Linked DNA regions of Callithrix jacchus. The protein of the gene in region 2 purifies or fractionates together with the protein of the main gene of each other region. This does not show direct contact. Links are inferred from orthologs where the notes say so. Each region holds a gene or a part of one and is shown on either strand. Other genes may lie near its edges. The genes, in order: PDHA1, DLAT and DLD.

Region 1 (5,764 bases), on a different chromosome or scaffold from region 2:
CTTAGAAACGAGCTCCAGAGCTACCTCTTGGAATGTGGACCAGATAAGCTCTGACGTAAAACCTCAACACTTAACCCTATTTCCAGCACAGTTAGGGATGTGGTTCCTAAGGAAAGGCATTTGAAAGATGTGGGGCTAAACACTTAAAGTGGTAGACCTAACAAGTGATGTTCCAAATTAACTGAAGGCATCCTAGATGAAGCGGCTTCTCTCTAGAAAGTGAATCTTAGAATTGGGAGTTGTGTAATATGAATTGGAGTGGCTGAGTGACGCATGGTGAATTCATCTCTTTTTCACGTCGCATTTACATTCTGGAATCGTTTATTCATCCAGCTGGTTACTTTGGAAGACTTTTATGGTTAGACTAATATGTAACAAATTGCCAACTGTACAGGTATTACAGAGAGCCCAGCAGCCCTCCACGGGCAGAGAACAGATAAAGAGCTTATAGACTGGTTGCAGCTGCAAGGAGCTGATGCAAAGACAATCGAAAAGGTAAACATACAACGAAGAAATTCTTACGGTGTTGTTACACGGCCGCTTGCTCTCATGGATCTGATCTTTATTTCAGATTATTGAAGAGGGTTATACACTGTCTGATATTCTTAATGAGATCACTAAGGAAGATCTAAGATACCTTCGACTACGGTAAGAGCCGCAAAACAGTTTGTGTAAGAGAACACGCCTTTTTATGTGTGAATATGCTTAAAGAGCAGAAAACAAAGGGCTGGGCCTCCCTCAAAACGCTGGAGTTCGGAGCTGAGAAAAAGCCAACGCATGGCAGAAACTGAAAACCACGCAGGAGAAGTAGGCAGGTGACAGAGGAGCTGGCCAGTCAATCTCCTGCCATTAATGCCTGGCTGGGAGTGGGGGAGGCACACGGCTTGAGGGCCCACATGCTGGACCCCTCCCCTTCTGTAAACTGTAGCCTGCCTTCTTGTTCCTGCGTCATTTGAAATAGCTGGCTCTGCAGGTACATACCTCTAAGGCCATATCCTAACACTGCTGGGACACAAGTGTCTCCTCCATATGTGAAGAGAATGTTTTTAAGTAAGTTAGGGGCTGCATTTCTAAGCACTGTTGGCTTGAAGCTCTGACTCTGAAGACAGCTGTTTGTTTCCTAGGGGTGGTCTCCTCTGCAGGCTCTGGAGCGCGGTTTCCCAGTACAGAAGGGCTCAGGAGGCCTCAGAAGCCAAAGACGAGGCTTGATACCGATCATCAGCTAAGCTGGGAGCAGTGTGTGCCACCACACTACATGTTTTGTTAAAGCTTCTGTTAATGTATAGATGCAGTCTGCCGTGTTTACATATTTTAAAAATGCCATTATTCAGGAACTTAAAGTTTTAAATATTGTCCATACTGAGTTTCTTTTGAAATCTATTATTTATAAACATAGAGCTGTGTGTATTGTGAGAACAGTGAGCCCTGGTTTTGACCTCCCAGAATATTAGGAAATTCACCTGTGGTCCCAGCTGCTTGGGAGGCTGAGGTGGGAGGATCGCTTGAGCCCTGGAGGTGGAGGCTGCAGTGGGCCTTGATCACACCACTGCACTCCAGCCTGGGCAACAGAGCGAGACCCTATCTCAAAAACAAAAAAGTACATCCTTTAGCACTTGCTGGAATGGTGAAACAAGGGGTGTTTAACATGGAAGCTGGGACTTGCTTCGCTTCAGAACTGTTATGGTACTTAAATTTGAGAAACAACATTGATACGAATGTGCCTTGTATTTAATGTTTATTATGAACAGAAAATAGCTTCATATTATACTGAATGTATAAGTACAGAAAACTATGTGGCCTTTGATTAGGAAAGTCTTATTTTAAAATGGACCTGTCCTGCTGCCTGATTATAATAAATAGTGTCTTAAAGAGAAATGATGGTCAGTGTGAACAGGCTGCTGCACGCAGCAAGAGGCCCTGGGCTGTTACCATAAGTATGCCTGTGAGGGGCCCCACAATAATGGTCTCCTCTCAAAAAGGTGGTGGGGCACAGGCATACTAGGAATTGTTCTTCCTTTTCATAATTAAAATAGTTGTATACTTTGAACAAATATGCTAAGTCAAAAATAATCTTTTATAATATTCACACTAAGCACTCAATAACATCTTTTAATGCAACAATGTACAAACTGCATGCAATTACTAGCTGAAGTGGACGTTTACAAGCATGTCATTGACTGACTGACTGGGTTTTCTCCTTAACCAAGATGAGAACACTGAACACTGTCTAGTAGCCCCTGAAGGTATAGAGGCTCACCTTCTGCTCCCCTTAACTGACTGACTTAAACTTGATCCACTGATTGGCACCACGGACTTCGAAAGGTGGGTCACTGGAGTAGATGTGGTAGCCCAGCTCCTCCAAAGGCGGCTCAGGATCGGCTGTGGCAAACTGGGCAGCATCCTCAATTTCCTTCCTCACTTCCACATCAATTTCCTAAAAAGTGTGAAAGGTTTTTTGAATGAACAGCAGCTTAGGTACCAACCAGAGTTCTACTGAGGACCTGTTGCTGGTGTAACTTTTCTAACTACAAGCATTAACAGTTGCTAACTTGGAAGATTCTGGAATATAGATTTCTAGGGTGTATCTTTTTTATGAATTAAAAATTCAAAGGAAAATCTCTTAGGAAAAAAAGAACTATGCTACTTGGGGGGCTTGGCCACTGTGATTAGTGATAGCATTTACTCAGGTGGTCCACAGTCCACCAAAATCTAGAGTAATAGAATTTGGAGGAGAGGAAACTAGAAGGAAAGCCCACCCTGAGGGACTTTGGAATTCATTATGCCCCAGCACATCACTTTTTGGGCTTAGAGAAACCCACACAAACTCTGTCTGTGCCCACCCAGGGGTGGCAACTTTTTTAGGGGGGAAGGGGGGGGTGCAAAAAAAAAAAAGCCAACCTTCAAACCTCCACAAATGAGTGAGTGTACCTTTAATTCTTCCACACTGGCAAGATTGCTGTTCACCATCCTGTCCTTGAGAAGCATAATAGGGTCACTCTTGCTTCTTACTTCCTGAATTTCTTCTCGTGTACGGTAACTATGGGGAGGGAAAAAGTAATTGATCAGTAAGAACAGCTCCAGGAGAGCAAGGACAGCATGAAGAAATAGGATATTGGGTTGGACTGTCCCAATGAGGTGAGATATAGAAGTGTGTTTCTAAAACAAAGGGGCACATTAATGCCTCTGTCACCATAGGAGTGGCAGAGTTACACTTTCAAAACACCAGAACCCAGCTTAACATTCTGTAAGAACTGCTGTCTTTTCTAGAAAACCATACACTGGTAAGTCCTAGGGCTTCTCTGGCATTCTGACAACAGGGGCCAAGTTTGTGCTTGCTGCTTTAATTTAGACATAAGGGTCTAAAGAAGTGTCTCTTGTCCCACCCATTTGGGCTCAAGCATACTACATGGGTGGGGACAGCAGAGACAGTTTGTGCTGATAATCAGACTTTGAGACATCAGACCGCCCAGTAAGAAATCCATGTGCCTTGCCTTTCTCCCGTAAGTCCCCCTAAAGCAGCACAGTCAGCAAAACCTTGGATACCAAGTCTTCCAATTCTATGATGTAGAATTTTTGCCTACATCATTTGAAGTATCACTACATCAATAAAAGGATTCTACCACTTTCAACAACAGATTTACACAAAGTACATTTTCCATATACTACACTCTACACATGATTTTCCCTGAGAAGTCCACTCTATGAAGGCTTCTTTATTCAACTGTGTCACACCTGGGATTCCAGAATTACATGCCACAGCTACTAAGCCAAAAAGTAAAATTCATACCTTCCTAGTGATTGATGTATTTCAACAGATTGAACCCCCAGTTAGCCTTGCTCTATGCCAGACGTTCTCTTCAGGTGGGGTATGCCATCTGTGGACTTGGGGTAATACCTACAAAAGCTAAATGCCCCCAAAGATACTACCCTACCATCAGCCCTGTTTTATGTAACAATTTCCAATGCTCTTTTGAAAATCGTTGCTTGTGCTCACACACTACACACTCTAGGAATTTTTAGAAAGCTTTGTTTTTAGGAGGCACTGCTTTCAGACTAAGACTTCAGATAACTTGATGCCAACAAAGCTAACTGCATACAGGAAGTGAACTGGTATGTAGCTGCAAAAGCAAATGCTGAAATGTGTACCTTTTGCCATGTAACACCATTCAAAGCCCACCACCTCTGGAAACCACATTGCCCATGAGTGTACCTGACTCCAGGATCACTCATGCTGTGTCCGTGGTAACGATAAGTCTGCAGTTCCATCAGGATGGGCCCCTAAAACAGAACCGGAAGGCAGTTAGGAATGATGATGGGAACAGCAGCCCGACGATCCACGGCCTCAAACACAGGCCCTTTATTAAGTGTCCAGTGTATTTTTATCAGATCTGAGTTGTCACGAATTTCTTATTTGTTGACTGATTATTTGTTCTCATTTCTAGCATGTATTGATGATATATTTCATCTTATTTTTAGTAAGGCAATCTGGCAATAGCTTGTTTTGGATCAAAAAGGCCAGGTATGGTGGCTCATGCCTGTAATCCCAGCACTTTGGGAGGCTGAGGCAGGAGGATTACTTGAGCCCAGGACTTCAAGACCATCCTGGACAACATAGCAAAACCCCATCTCTTAAAAAAAACAAAAACAAAAACAAAAACTAGCCAGGCATGGTGGCATGCACCTGTAGTCCCAGCTACTTGGGAAGATCACCTAACCCTGGAAAGTTAAGGCCACAGTGAGCTGTGAATATGCCACTGCCCAAGACCCTGTCAAAAAAGAAAAAGGCTTCGAGTGTGTGCTAGAGCCTCCTGATACTGGCTAGGCAGATTTCCATCTTGTGCTCCTTTCTCATGGTGTGTTGTGGGGCTGGCAGCCACTTGTACTTCACAGATCTTGCTAGTGTGTAACAAAGTTGGCAGGTACCAACAACCTCTGCTCCCCAAACCCCGAGGCTCTGTTGGGAGTCTGCCCAGTTGGGTTCTGTATCACCAAGTGGCCTGCTCATTTGACACTAGCCCACTTCCAGGAGATGGCTCTGAACACTGAGGGATGGGGAAGCATTGAGGATCCTTGGTTGGTTTGGTGCAGCAGTTAAAATGGGGGAGTGGGGAGCTGGCTCAGAGTCCAGGTGCTTGGGTTCCAATCCAGGCTCCAAGGTAGAGTAGCTCTTGTACCTTTAACTGCTCTGTGGCTATTTCCCTGTCTGTTAAATGGGCAAAACAGTTAACACCTAACTCAGAATTGTGAAGGTTATCTGGCTGGGAAAGTCAACACCATGTCTCCAGCCAGGGCTGGCTTCCACAGATTCTTTTCAAGAATTGGGAGAGGTGGGGTCAAAACCCACTGTCAGGGCCTGGCACTCCCAGCCTTAGAGTCCTGACATAGACTGCTCAGCCCAGTGTTGCCAAGCCGTGGTCTCGGTCCTGCTGTAGTTCATTCTACTCACTGGCGCTTGTTTCATGTTCCACTTCCCACCCTCGCCTCCGTCTCTTCCATCATTCTGGCCACATCTGACACGCACCACTGTCCAAACATACATGGTATGCCACTGAAGTACAAACTGCAGAAACCTTGTTTCTGGGCCGGGGAACATTGATTTAGGGAGAACACCCAAACCTACTAAGCCTATACTAGCGCAAAAGGAACTGAAACCTCTCTTCAGGCCCATCTCCCTCACTGCCATACACTGGAAGGGAAAGATCCTTAGGACTGAGCAAGACTAAGATTACAAGCTTCAGTCATTCTATTTACTGTGTCTAAGACA
Region 2 (6,852 bases):
AAGAAAGTCCTTAAGAGGGGAAAGAAAAAAAAACACAATAATTTATAAGTCCTGGCTGGGCACAGTGGCTCACGCCTGTAATCCCAGCACTTTGGGAAGCCCAGGTGGGTGGATCACATGAGGTCGGGAGTTTGAGATCAGCCTGGCTAACGTGGTGAAACCCCCATCTCTACTAAAAATACAAAATTAGCTGGACATGGTGGTGTGTGGGTCAAGATGGCCAGGGGGAGACCTTTATTAATTCTAGCTAAATAATTATAAGCTTGATTGGCTCACAGTGCACTGAAGTTTATACACCAAACTAAACTATATTATTGGTGCAGTTAATTAGAAATCAAGCAGCCACAGGAGGCCTAAGGTGTAAAGACCACTGGGGAGCGCAGTAACACCAGGGAACACTGAGGGGTGGTTGCAGAGCAGGGAATACTGCTCTGGTCCCACAAATGCCTTCTCAACATGGCGACTGCATGAGGGTCTCCTAAAGAGGGCTTGTGCAAAGATCTCTGAGAAGGGAGGCGACCTCTGCTCACAAGATCTGGGAGGGTCTTTGCAGATGGGAGCTGGCCAGGAGGAGAAACGCCTTGCAAGGCCAGGCGCGGTGGAAGGCGGAGATCACGGAAAGCCTCAGCCTCTGCCTAGGTTCTCCGAATATGGAGTGATTTTAATTGTTCTATGTCTTCAATGCTTGGGAGATAAAAGCCCCTTGAAGTATTGGGTGTGGTCAGACTGGGTGGCTCCTCCTCTGCTATACTTCTGCTGCAGCAGCACCCTGATAACAATAAGTGATAAACTCAGAGTACTAGTTTAGCATGTTTTAGACAGATCTCAAGTGCTTTTAAATGCTTAGACAGTAGTTTAGCATGTCTTAGAAGGATCTCAAGTGCAAGTGCTCCCCTGCCCCATCTTACCTACCCCTTCACCCTCCCCTTCCATGCCCATTACTTCAATGAGATTATGCACAAAATAAAAGGGTTTGGAGCCCAGAGCTCGGGGCCAACACAGTTCCCACACTTGCGTTGGTCCCCTGGACGCATGCTGCAAATTCTAGCCTTGTGTCTCTGTCTTTATTTCCTTTTCTCAATCCCTCCTCACTGCCAGGACTAAGGGCATCTACATACGGGGTTGGGGCTGGTACCCAGCAGTGGCACGTGCCTGTAATCCCAGCTACTCAGGAGGCTGAGACAGGAGAATCTCTTGAACCCGGGAGCCTGGGTGACAGAGTCAGATTCTGTCTCCAAAATAATAATAATAATTTATAAGCCCTTTTACTAATTACAATTATTCTTCCATTGCTTCTTCCAATTGTTAATTCATAAGCTGTATATAATTGTAACAATATAATTGCCCTCCTCTTCATATTATTTCAAATATGCCTTTTCATTTAATCTGGAAATTTTATATTTCTCAATTATATTGCCTACATATCATTCGATTAGGCAGTTGTACCTGCTTAATAAACATTTCCAATTTAAGTAGGCATAAAACAGTATATCCGATCTGTTTTTACTTTTCCAAATTAATTGTTAGCAAGATTAACCACCCCCAACACACACCATTTTTTAAGAGACAGATTCTTTCTGTGTTGCCCAGGCTGGTCTCAAACTCTTGGGCTCAAGTGATTCCCCCACCTCAGCCTCTCAGGTATTTATTGCTGGGAACTACAGGCACGCACCATCGCTCCTGGCTAACATCTTGTTTTAATGTTTTTCCCTCCAATTTCTTCTTGTGTTCTTGGTGTTGTCTAACTGTGTGTACACTGGGGAGGTGGTGATACAAACACAGCACATGCTTCCTCCTTATCTAATGTCACCTTAATTGATACGTTTTCTTTTATTTTTTTTTTGAGACAGAGTTTCACCCTTCTTACCCAGGCTGGAGTGCAATGGGGCGACCTCGGCTCACTGCAACCTCTGCCTCCTGGGTTCAGGCAATTCTCCTGCCTCAGCCTCCTGAGTAGCTGGGATATAGGCACATGCCACCGTGCCTAGCTAATTTTTTGTATTTTTAGTAGAGACAGGGTTTCACCATGTCGACCACGATGGTCTCGATCTCCTGACCTCGTGATCCACCCGCCTCGGCCTCCCAAAGTGCTGGGATTACAGGCGTGAGCCACCGCGACCGGCCTAATTGATATGTTTTCTTTCTTTCTTTCTTTTTTAAAGACGGGGTTTCACCGTGTTGGTCAGACTGGTCTCGAACTCCCCACCTCAGGTGATCTGCCCGCCTTGGCCTCCGAAGTGCTTGGATTACAGGCGTGAGCCACTACGCCCAGCCAATTGATATGTTTTCTAATTAAAAGCTAACCTTACAAGAGAAGCAAACCTAACAAAATGTCTGGATGACTTTCTGTTCATTAATTCAAAAGCTATACATTCAGCCACCGCTAATTACTGTATACTAAGCTCTGGGGCTACAGGGAAGAACCACCTCCACACACTTCCTGCCTTCAACGGCTTCCAGTTAAGTTTTGGTAGGAAACATATGAAACGTAACGCTTTTGGTTACGTAATAGAATTCTATGGTATTAGGGGTAACAGAAACATGTTCTGTAACCTATATTTTCATAAAGGGAATATGCTTAATCTTGCTACAGTATACACGAATGCGGGAATCTGTCTTTTCTGGGCTGCCTTTCGTACCACTTGGCTGGAACACCTGTTCATTTCACTTCAAGTTGGGTACAAACCTGAAACGAAATCTTTGTAACCCAGTACAGCCTGCGCCCGGTGGGGCCCAGTCCGTCCTCATGACGATGCGCGGAAGTAGAGGTCACCAGGCTGCACCTCTCGATTCCCCCGCAGGCGGTTCCTCGCTCCTTCACCACCCCAGGGCTCCAAGATCCCCGCCCTTTGGCCTGAGGCTCCCACTGCCCAGCCAGTTCCCTGTTCACTCCCGGCTTTTCCTCGAAGCTGGGCCACGCCCCTCGGCCCAGACTCTCCGGCCACTCGGCCGCGGTGATCCCGCGTCTTTGCCACTGTTGAGACCTCTCCCTCTCGGTCGTACCCTTCCCGTCTCCTGGGCCCCGCCGGATGCCTCCCCTAGGACCCCACCACTTTCCGTCTGTTATTTCTCCCAAACTTGCGCCCGCACAGGCCCTGCTGGAACACCCCTGCCCCGGGGGGGGGGTGCCCCTTGTACCCACTCCAGAGAGGAAGGGCGTGGGTGCGGCGCATTTCTGGCCTGGGGAGGGGGTGGAATAAACCTGCGGGGCCCATTTTACGACACCGTGCGGCTGTGCGGCGTGGCTGACGGCAACGCCGTGCAAGTCTTGGAGAGGTCACTTCGGAGACGGCGTTGGTTTTGGGGTGTGGGGGGTTGGTGGCACTATGTGGCGCGTCTGTGCGCGACCCGCCCAGAATGTAGCCCCATGGACGGGACTCGGGGCTCGGTGGACGGCCTTGCGGAAGGGACCCGGATCTCCACGAGTGACCTCGCGATCTGGCCTGGCTCCGGCTCGTCGCAACAGCGTGACAGCAGGGTATGGCGGGGTCCGGACACTGTGTGGCTGGACCCCCAGCTCTGGGGCCACGCCGCGGAACCGCTTACTGCTGCAGCTTTTGGGGTCGCCCGGCCGCCGCTGTTACAGTCTTCCCCCGCATCAGAAGGTGAGCCCTCGACCGGTCCTTCTCGGGACGACCCGTCCTTCAGAGCCGACTGGATGGCTGCACGATCCTCCTTGAGGGGCCTCATTGATCCTCCAGCCATTCCCAGTATCTGCTTTCGCCCTTTGTCCAATTCAGCTTTGCTGTGTAGCTCCTTAGCTTCCCTCTCATGGTCTATTCCATTGAAAGGAGAGCTTCAAGACTGGGGCAGTATGCAAAATACCTGCCGAGGTTCATGCCTTGTCAGACCCAAAGGACTGTGGAGGAGAAAGCCTGTCATTGGAAAGTATTCACTTCTCGTGGGCAGCAAATTTTTTTGGATCCTTAGTTCCTAGTGTGTAATGGAACTGGATAAACTCGTTGCATGAAATTGAATTAAATGAAATCTTAAGCCAGACAGAGGGTTAGGTAGCCCTTTAAAAATTTAATGTTTCTTTTTTTCTTCCAGGTTCCATTGCCTTCTCTTTCCCCGACAATGCAGGCAGGCACCATAGCCCGTTGGGAAAAAAAAGAGGGGGACAAAATCAATGAAGGTGACCTAATTGCAGAGGTAAGTTGTTTTAAAATAAAGGAGATGAGTTTGAAGAGACTGGCTTTGCTGAATTGACTGAACATTGACTTTCTGGATGTGTGGTTACCCCTTTGCTTAAGAAACTTGTGTTTTTCACAGCTTGATGTTAGACAAGATTGGTTAGATGAGTTATCAGCAACTGGCCAAACTGATGTTTAGCCAAGGTGTTTCCAAAGTAATTCCTTCTTTGAAATCTGTCCTAGTGCCTTATCTTCACATGAACTGTGTGATTCTAGACACAAAGGCCAGGCTGACCAATATGGTGAAACTCCTGTCTCTGCTAAAAATACGAAAAATAGCCAGTCCTGGCGGCCTGTGCCTGTGGTCCCAGCTACTCCTCTGGAGGCTGAGGCAGGAGAATGGCTTGAACCAGGGAGCCCTGCGGGGAGGTTGCAGTGAGCCGAGATTGCGCCACTGCACTCCAGCCTCGGTGACAGAGTGAGACTCTGTCTAAAAAAGAAAAATTCTAGACACAAGCAAATAAAGTACATACCAACAGTACCAACTTAAGCTGCCGCTTTTTGTGTTAAAAGGTTGAAACTGATAAAGCCACTGTTGGATTTGAGAGCCTGGAGGAGTGTTACATGGCAAAGATACTTGTTGCTGAAGGTACCAGGGATGTTCCCATTGGAGCCATCATCTGTATCACAGTTGGCAAGTGAGTAGTACCCTCATAATTTGTGAAACTTCATTGCTTGGTGGAGTATTTTAACCCAGAATTGAGAATTAGGAGTTAAAGACTTTTTTTTAAAGACTATTTTGTGAGGGCTGAATCTGCCTGTTTATTATATTTATGTATTCTTTCTCTTTCTTAGGCCTGAGGATATTGAGGCCTTTAAAAATTATACGTTGGATTCCTCGGCAGCAGCTACCCCACAGGTGGCCCCAGCACCAACCCCTGCTGCCACTGCTTCACCACCTGCACCCTCTGCTCAGGCTCCTGGTAGCTCATATCCCGCTCACATGCAGGTGAGGCTCAGTCTCTGAGTGTTTGCTGTAGATGATTTATTACTTACTTTTTTTCGTAGATGGCTACTACATCTTGGAAACTGACATTTAATGTGGCTAATGCTTGTCATTTGGGAGTTTACAGAGATTTAAACATGAAAATTGACAATTTTTCTTCCTGGTTGTTATTTCCAGGTATAAGAACTTGAACAGTTCCTGTAACCTTTCTCAGCCTCAGTGTAGTACACAGGGTAGTGCGTGGCACTTTTCATTCAAGAACACCACATTATAGATTTTGAGGATGATTTTTACTCATATCTACTCCCTGTGTAATTAGAGTTTATAGTAGGCTGTGTTTGTTTTATACTGGCATAAATATCTGGGGCTGGGTAATTTATAAAGAAAAAAAGTGGCCAGGCGTGGTGGCTCACGCCTGTAATCCAAGCACTTTGGAGGCCAAGGCGGGCGGATCACCTGAGGTCGGGAGTTCAAGACCAGCCTGACCAACATGGTGAAACCCCGTTTTTAAAATAAAAAAAAAGAAAGAAAAAACATTTATTTGGCTCATGGTTCTGCAGGCTGTACAAGAAGTATGGCACCAGCATCTGTTTCTCTTGTGGCCTCAGGAAGCTTACAATCACAGGGGAAGGGGAAGCTGGTGTGTCACATAATGAGAGAGGCAGCAAGAGACAGAGGGGAGTGGGTATCAGGCTCTTTATAACAATCAGATTTCCCCTTAACTCATAACTGTGAGGCATACACCAAGCCATTCATGAAGGATCCTCCTCCAATACCCCGACACCTCCCGCCAGACCCCATCTCTAACATTGGGGATCATATTTCTTTTTTTGGGGTGTGTTCTTTTGACATGTGGTGATCTGTTTTCCAAGAGTAAGTGAAGTAGTACGATAGTATTAACAAATGAGAAAACTGACAAAAATAAGTGGCTAAAAATCCAGCCATCCTTTTCTAAATAATTCTGACTTGAATTTTTCCATAATCTAGTTTATTTGTAGAAATTTTTGTATAGAAATCACTTCTTTGGAAATAATGTTCTACTCTGTGGTCTGTTAGTAACAATAAGTTAGGATTTTTGCCAGGTATTCAGTTCCCACATGTATTACATGCTGTTCATCAAATTCTATCTCATGATATGAGACTGACTTAATTCTTCTCTATTTTATGTCTGTAGCTTTGTGTGCATGTGTTCGGGCTTTACCTTGATTATCCTTTAAGATATTATATAGAAATCATTGGCTTTACTGTTCGTTAAGAAGCAGATCAAGATGGCAAATTCTGAACAAAAAAAGCACTTAAAATTTTTTTTCTAAGGCTTGTCTTTTTTTTCCCCCCTCTAGAAACATCTTCAATTGAAATTATTTTCCTCTTAGCATAATGCCGTTGCTAATCGGATACAAAAGACAAAGGGGATAGCAAATGAAATCCGTAATAACTAAATAACCAAATTCCGTGGACACACAAGCCATATAAATAGTAAAGCAATTTTAAATTTAGATAGGCATTCTGATGTTTGAATTTTATTGGGGTGGAAATGACTATTTTAAAAACAGGGCTTTTTTTCCTCATTTAAAAAAATTTTTTTGAGACGGGCTCTTACTCCATCGCCCTAGGCTGGAGCGTGCAGTGGCATGATTTCAGCCCACTGCAACCTCTGCCTCCTGGGTTCAAGGGATTCTCCTGCCTCAGCCTCCCCAGTAGCTGGGAATACAG
Region 3 (5,065 bases), on a different chromosome or scaffold from region 2:
GGAGTAAGCCACTGCTCCATGCCAGTTGAAATTACTAATTTTAATCAGTTCAATGAAGTGGATAATCTGCCTTCACAAGCCACGAAAATATTGAGAGCTTAGTAGACAACAGTAAGTAAACATTTAAAACTTGTTTTATTCTTAGGACTTCATTCCCCACCCAAATATATTTCATTCTCATATTGAATGTAAACACTTAAATATGGATTTAACTATTTTGTGTCCCTAGAGCTAGGATTCCATGTTAAATTATATTTCACTACTCCCTAACTAGAAACTTATTTTTCCCTGAGTAAGAGACATGTTGAGATTTAAATAAACTAGCACTTGACACGATACTGGGATTTCAGATTTTTAAAAAGATGCAGCGTTCACTTCCAGTAATGGCGAAGTAGCACATATCGGACCAACCCTCCTGCTGACAGCAACTGCAAACTCTGAACAAAACACATTTTAGAAAAAACTGTAAAGGCACTGGAAAACAACTATAAACAGGTGAAAAGCAGAGAGGAGCTGGCACTTAAAAAGTGAACAGCACTGGCTCAAAGTCTCATTTTTAATAGGTTTTGACTTGAGGGGGAAACAAAAGCCAAGTTTTATTGGATAAGGATCAGAGGACAGAATATGGGGCGACCACAACAGCTGGAACATAAAGGGGAAAACCCCAGAAAAATAAGAGGGAAAAGAAGGGGCAGACTTTCTTCTGCCCAACCTCTGGTTGACTACTGAACTATACACTTGCATCGGAAAGACTTCCAGCAGCATAGGTAAATCTAAAACAACTGAGAAGAGATTTCAGCTGCTACCACCTACAGGGTTTGGAGGTGGTGTTCAGCCAAATTAACTGCCTACTAAGACAACAATCAATTTTCTTCAGAAGTATGTAACAGAATCCAGGGTGTTTACTATACGCCACTCATAATGAGCATTAGACAATCTATGCTATCTATACTAAATTTCAGAACTACTTAATGAATATCATTCTTAAATTTAGTTATAATATGCAAAAGCCTACTTAGCATTTAGTACTCTGTTACTTAAGTTTCACAGGACATGGCCATTTTAAACACCATAGACGCAACTTTATAATACTCTTTAAATAAAGTCATTTACCCAGCCAAGGAAAACAGATTAAAGACTCCCTTATGTTGTACTTCTCCAAAAGCATATGTTAAACATTTACTAGGTGTCTCTAAAATAGATGAAAGGACAATGACTTTAAAATACCTTAATATTGTCACATAACATGAAAATAAAGATACATTCAGGCCTACAAAAGAAATAAGAACATACACTAGAGGTAGTCATAAAAAGAAAAAAAAACTACAACCATCTCAACACGTACTCATAACAACCAATAAATGAATATTTAAGACGTTTATTTCAGTATCTTCATTCCCCATTGTAATACATTTGAATCCACACGTAATATTTGAGTCCTGTAAATAGACTCTCTTAATTTGGGTAACTATATAATTACCCTTCAGAGTTATAGACAACAATGGAATCTTAAAAACCTCTTAAACACATAAATTCTACCCCTTAACTGCAAGAATTTAGGGGTTAAATAAGTGAGAGACCCTTTTTGACTTACATTATTTGGTTTATAGACAGCTGAATCTTGTTTGAATGACTGACTTGTTTCCAATATGAAAACCAAATTAAAAATATCTTGATCACTTTGCTTCAAACACAACTGTTCAAAGATCAAATTCTAGCTCCATCTGTGTAAAATTCAACTTTTCTATATCAGAGAAAAAAAAACTACTTAAATTCAGTGGCATTGAATCTTTCATGAACAGCATGAAAATAGGAGTTGACGGAGATATTCCAGGTACAGTAAGTAGCTTTTTGTCTTACATATGAGTGCACTGAAACAAAATACTAAATATATGTAAAATATAGATATGAGTATTCCATCTGTCCAAACCTATTAAATACCTTCCAAAAGTTTCATAATTCAGTCCTAGAAATTCTTGGAGCTGTGTGCATATCCTGTCCAGGAATGTGACTTCTACAAAAGCTCCCAGAAAATTTCAGAAAAAATATATATAATCTTCTAATTCAAAAGTTGATTGATTTGCCAAATGACGCAGCAAGATTTGCTTCTCTAAAAGCTTCTGATAAGGTCTGCAAGGGAAGAAATTTAGAATTAAAAACCAAGTATTTGTGGGTTAGAAGAAAATTCAGGCAACCATCAATTCTTTATGTTGTTAATAATTACCGGATGTGCATGACAGACTCTAGCTATATCTTCACAGGATGCTCCATATTCCAAAGCAAGAGCAGCTTCATTTACCATTTCTCCAGCACCCTTTAAAATAACAAGCCAAGTAAATTTGCTTCCATGACAAAAACTACATGCTAATAGGATAGCAATGGTTAAGAGAGGAAGCTTTTAGATCTGAAAATCGCCTTAAATCTGTTTCTGTATCAGCTGAAAGAAAGTCAGAAAAAACAACAGAAAAGGTGACACAGAAGAACCTGGGCTTTGGAGCCAAATGGTTTTCGATTCGTATCTACCATTTACTACTTTACCCATTCACTGGTTCTGTGTGCTTCCTTCAGTTTCTTCACCTCAAAAATAACAGCATGTATCTCACAAAGCTGTTGTAAAAATAACAAAATGTATACTAAAGTGACACAGTGAGCACTCAAATATTCTATTCTCCTTATTGTTATATCAGATACAGGAGATATCTACAAGAAAGATAACATACTTTAGCCTCAGTGGTAGGAAAGGTTTCCCTTAGGAGGTAACATTTGAGATGAGACCTAAACAATAAGGAGCCAGCAATTCAAAGATGTGGAGCCACAACAGTCTAAGCAGAGGGTACCTCAAGCACAAAGGCCCTAAAATTCAAACATTTGGCCTCTTGTGAAAATGAGAGAAGGTCCATGTCACACAGAATTAATCAGCAAAGGAGAGGAGAAAGAGAAGAGGTCAGAAATGTAGGCACAAACAGATTCAGTGAGGCGCTGTATGTAACAATCTGAAGTTGAAAAGCACCACTGGAGGATTTTAGGGGCATAATCCGGTGTATATTTTAAAGACAGAATCTTGGCTCCAGTATAGAAACCAGATGATACAGTGGGCAAGACTGTGAGAGTGCTGCTGGTATCCTTCTAGAAATGATACACAGAGAGGCCATATTCAAAAGTTTTGCTGGAAATGAGTAACCTCCAAATAACAACAGGTGGTTTACAATTAATAAACAGCAATGCTTTCTAGAAATCTTATGGATTTCTCTGGTTTTACGATACTCACTGGTCCAAGAATATGTGCTCCCAGTACTCTGTCGGTCGATTTCTGCCCAAGGATCTTCACCATGCCATCTGTGTCAGCATTTGTCTTAGCTCTGCTGTTAGCAGCAAATGGGAATTTCCCAACTTTGTACTCAATACCCTGTGAGAGACATAAAAAAAGAATCTACGTAAGTGCTGGAAGAGTTCATTCCAATTTGTAAAATCATCTACCATTTGATCAGAAATAAATCCCAAGAAGGCAACTGTACACAAAGTACATACAAGACCCAAAGGTCTTGTTAATGAAGATATAGTTAATGAACTATATCTTGGGCACAAATGCAAGCCAATACAAATGTCTGTCCATCTGGTTATATTTCAAAGCCAAATATAAAAGATTTGGAATTACTAGTTTTTTAATACAGGCAACTTCTCCTCCTCTCAATTACTGCTGAAAAATCTGTGAACAATCTCTTTATAATGCTAACAAGGGAAAAACATATAAGCTAAACAATGATATTTCACAGCTGTGAAATATATTAATGTAATAAGATGCTGTTTCTCAACCACCATTGTCACTGGCACAACTCACACACTAGGGTAAAACCACCCACGTTCAGAGTTACCTCTTCTTTCAACTGCTCTTCTGATTTGCCAACCCAAGCAACTTCAGGGTGTGTATAAATCACTGATGGCACACAATTGTAGTCAATGTGCACAGCACCACCAGCCATTCCTTCAACACAGATAATGCCTTCATCCTCTGCTTTGTGAGCCAGCATTGGACCAGCAACTACATCACCAATAGCATAGATACTACCACAGAAATCAAAAGAAACAAAATGAATTTCTGAAATCACAGCTACTTATCTTCAGTTACATCATGGTAACAAAAGTAAAAGTTTCCAGTAAATAAGTCACCAAAAGATAAATCAAATGCAACTCTTCAAAAATCTATGAATTCACCTTCTCATCTTTGAGGAAAACTTCAATTATTTTTTGATTTTACATTTTGTAAGTTTACTATTCTTCCCCAAAGCCAAGACATATTTTAAGCATACAAGTCTTACTTTTCGAAACACTGTTTGAAATCAATTTTAAAATTACTGAAAACGCAGACAACTGTCCAACTTACTTTGGAATTTTAGATTGGAATCTGGTATTGACTGGAATTCTACCTCTGGGATCTAGTTCAATTCCCAGCTCTTCTAGTCCCAAATTCTTAGTAAAGGGTCGTCGACCAATGCAAACTAAGAGTACATCACAAGTGATAACTTCAGCTTTACCACCAGAAGCAGCTTCAATACTAGATAACAAACAGTATATAAATGTTAAATACACACCTACATAAATTGATAAAAATTTAAGATCAGAAATTTCTCAAGCATTGATGACATTTTTAACAATTAAGTTTATTTGACTGTAAATCGAAGAGTCAGATAATGAAAGAGAGCTATCATAAAATCTCACAAAAATCACAGACTAACAAAACAGCAGTTAAGAATATAGGTCTTTGAGTCACAAAAATCCACATTTAAGTACTGACTGCCACCCACTAGCTGTGTGATATTAAGCAAGTTAATAATTAAACTATTTAAATACTATTAACTATTTAAGTATTTATTTAAAAACTAATTTATTAGGTTAAATACCATTAAAGTATTTAATCAGTAGAGTGCCAGACATATAGTAAGCAATCTTTTATTATTGATTTCCCCATGTATCTGTGTAAACATGGTGATTTAATTTACTGAATATTGGGAAATTAAATTTTTCTGAAAATACTATAGAAAGGTACATTACAACAATGAAAATATTG

Evidence for each region.
Region 1: the proteins of DLAT (region 2) and PDHA1 fractionate together in Homo sapiens (co-fractionation; 3 studies listed by BioGRID). This does not show direct contact. The link is inferred for Callithrix jacchus from reciprocal best matches to the Homo sapiens genes DLAT and PDHA1.
Region 3: the proteins of DLAT (region 2) and DLD purify together in Homo sapiens (affinity purification with mass spectrometry; 4 studies listed by BioGRID and IntAct, counting the BioPlex papers as one, with this or other methods). This does not show direct contact. The link is inferred for Callithrix jacchus from reciprocal best matches to the Homo sapiens genes DLAT and DLD.

What each region holds. Positions count from the first base shown.
Region 1 is NC_133524.1:19,829,578-19,835,341, reverse strand, and holds the end of PDHA1 (pyruvate dehydrogenase E1 component subunit alpha, somatic form, mitochondrial), read right to left. Parts: intron 4,279-5,764; coding exon 4,211-4,278; intron 3,038-4,210; coding exon 2,929-3,037; intron 2,435-2,928; coding exon 2,270-2,434; 3' UTR 1,719-2,269; downstream 1-1,718. Other genes in the region: MAP3K15 (mitogen-activated protein kinase kinase kinase 15), read left to right, coding at 395-495, 572-648, 1,125-1,209. UniProt on the Homo sapiens protein: The pyruvate dehydrogenase complex catalyzes the overall conversion of pyruvate to acetyl-CoA and CO(2), and thereby links the glycolytic pathway to the tricarboxylic cycle.
Region 2 is NC_133511.1:11,730,431-11,737,282, forward strand, and holds the start of DLAT (dihydrolipoyllysine-residue acetyltransferase component of pyruvate dehydrogenase complex, mitochondrial), read left to right. Parts: upstream 1-3,261; 5' UTR 3,262-3,326; coding exon 3,327-3,605; intron 3,606-4,050; coding exon 4,051-4,152; intron 4,153-4,706; coding exon 4,707-4,831; intron 4,832-4,988; coding exon 4,989-5,142; intron 5,143-6,852.
Region 3 is NC_133512.1:78,371,908-78,376,972, reverse strand, and holds the end of DLD (dihydrolipoyl dehydrogenase, mitochondrial), read right to left. Parts: intron 4,553-5,065; coding exon 4,382-4,552; intron 4,063-4,381; coding exon 3,873-4,062; intron 3,407-3,872; coding exon 3,269-3,406; intron 2,315-3,268; coding exon 2,225-2,314; intron 2,131-2,224; coding exon 2,065-2,130; 3' UTR 1,363-2,064; downstream 1-1,362. UniProt on the Homo sapiens protein: Lipoamide dehydrogenase is a component of the glycine cleavage system as well as an E3 component of three alpha-ketoacid dehydrogenase complexes (pyruvate-, alpha-ketoglutarate-, and branched-chain amino acid-dehydrogenase complex).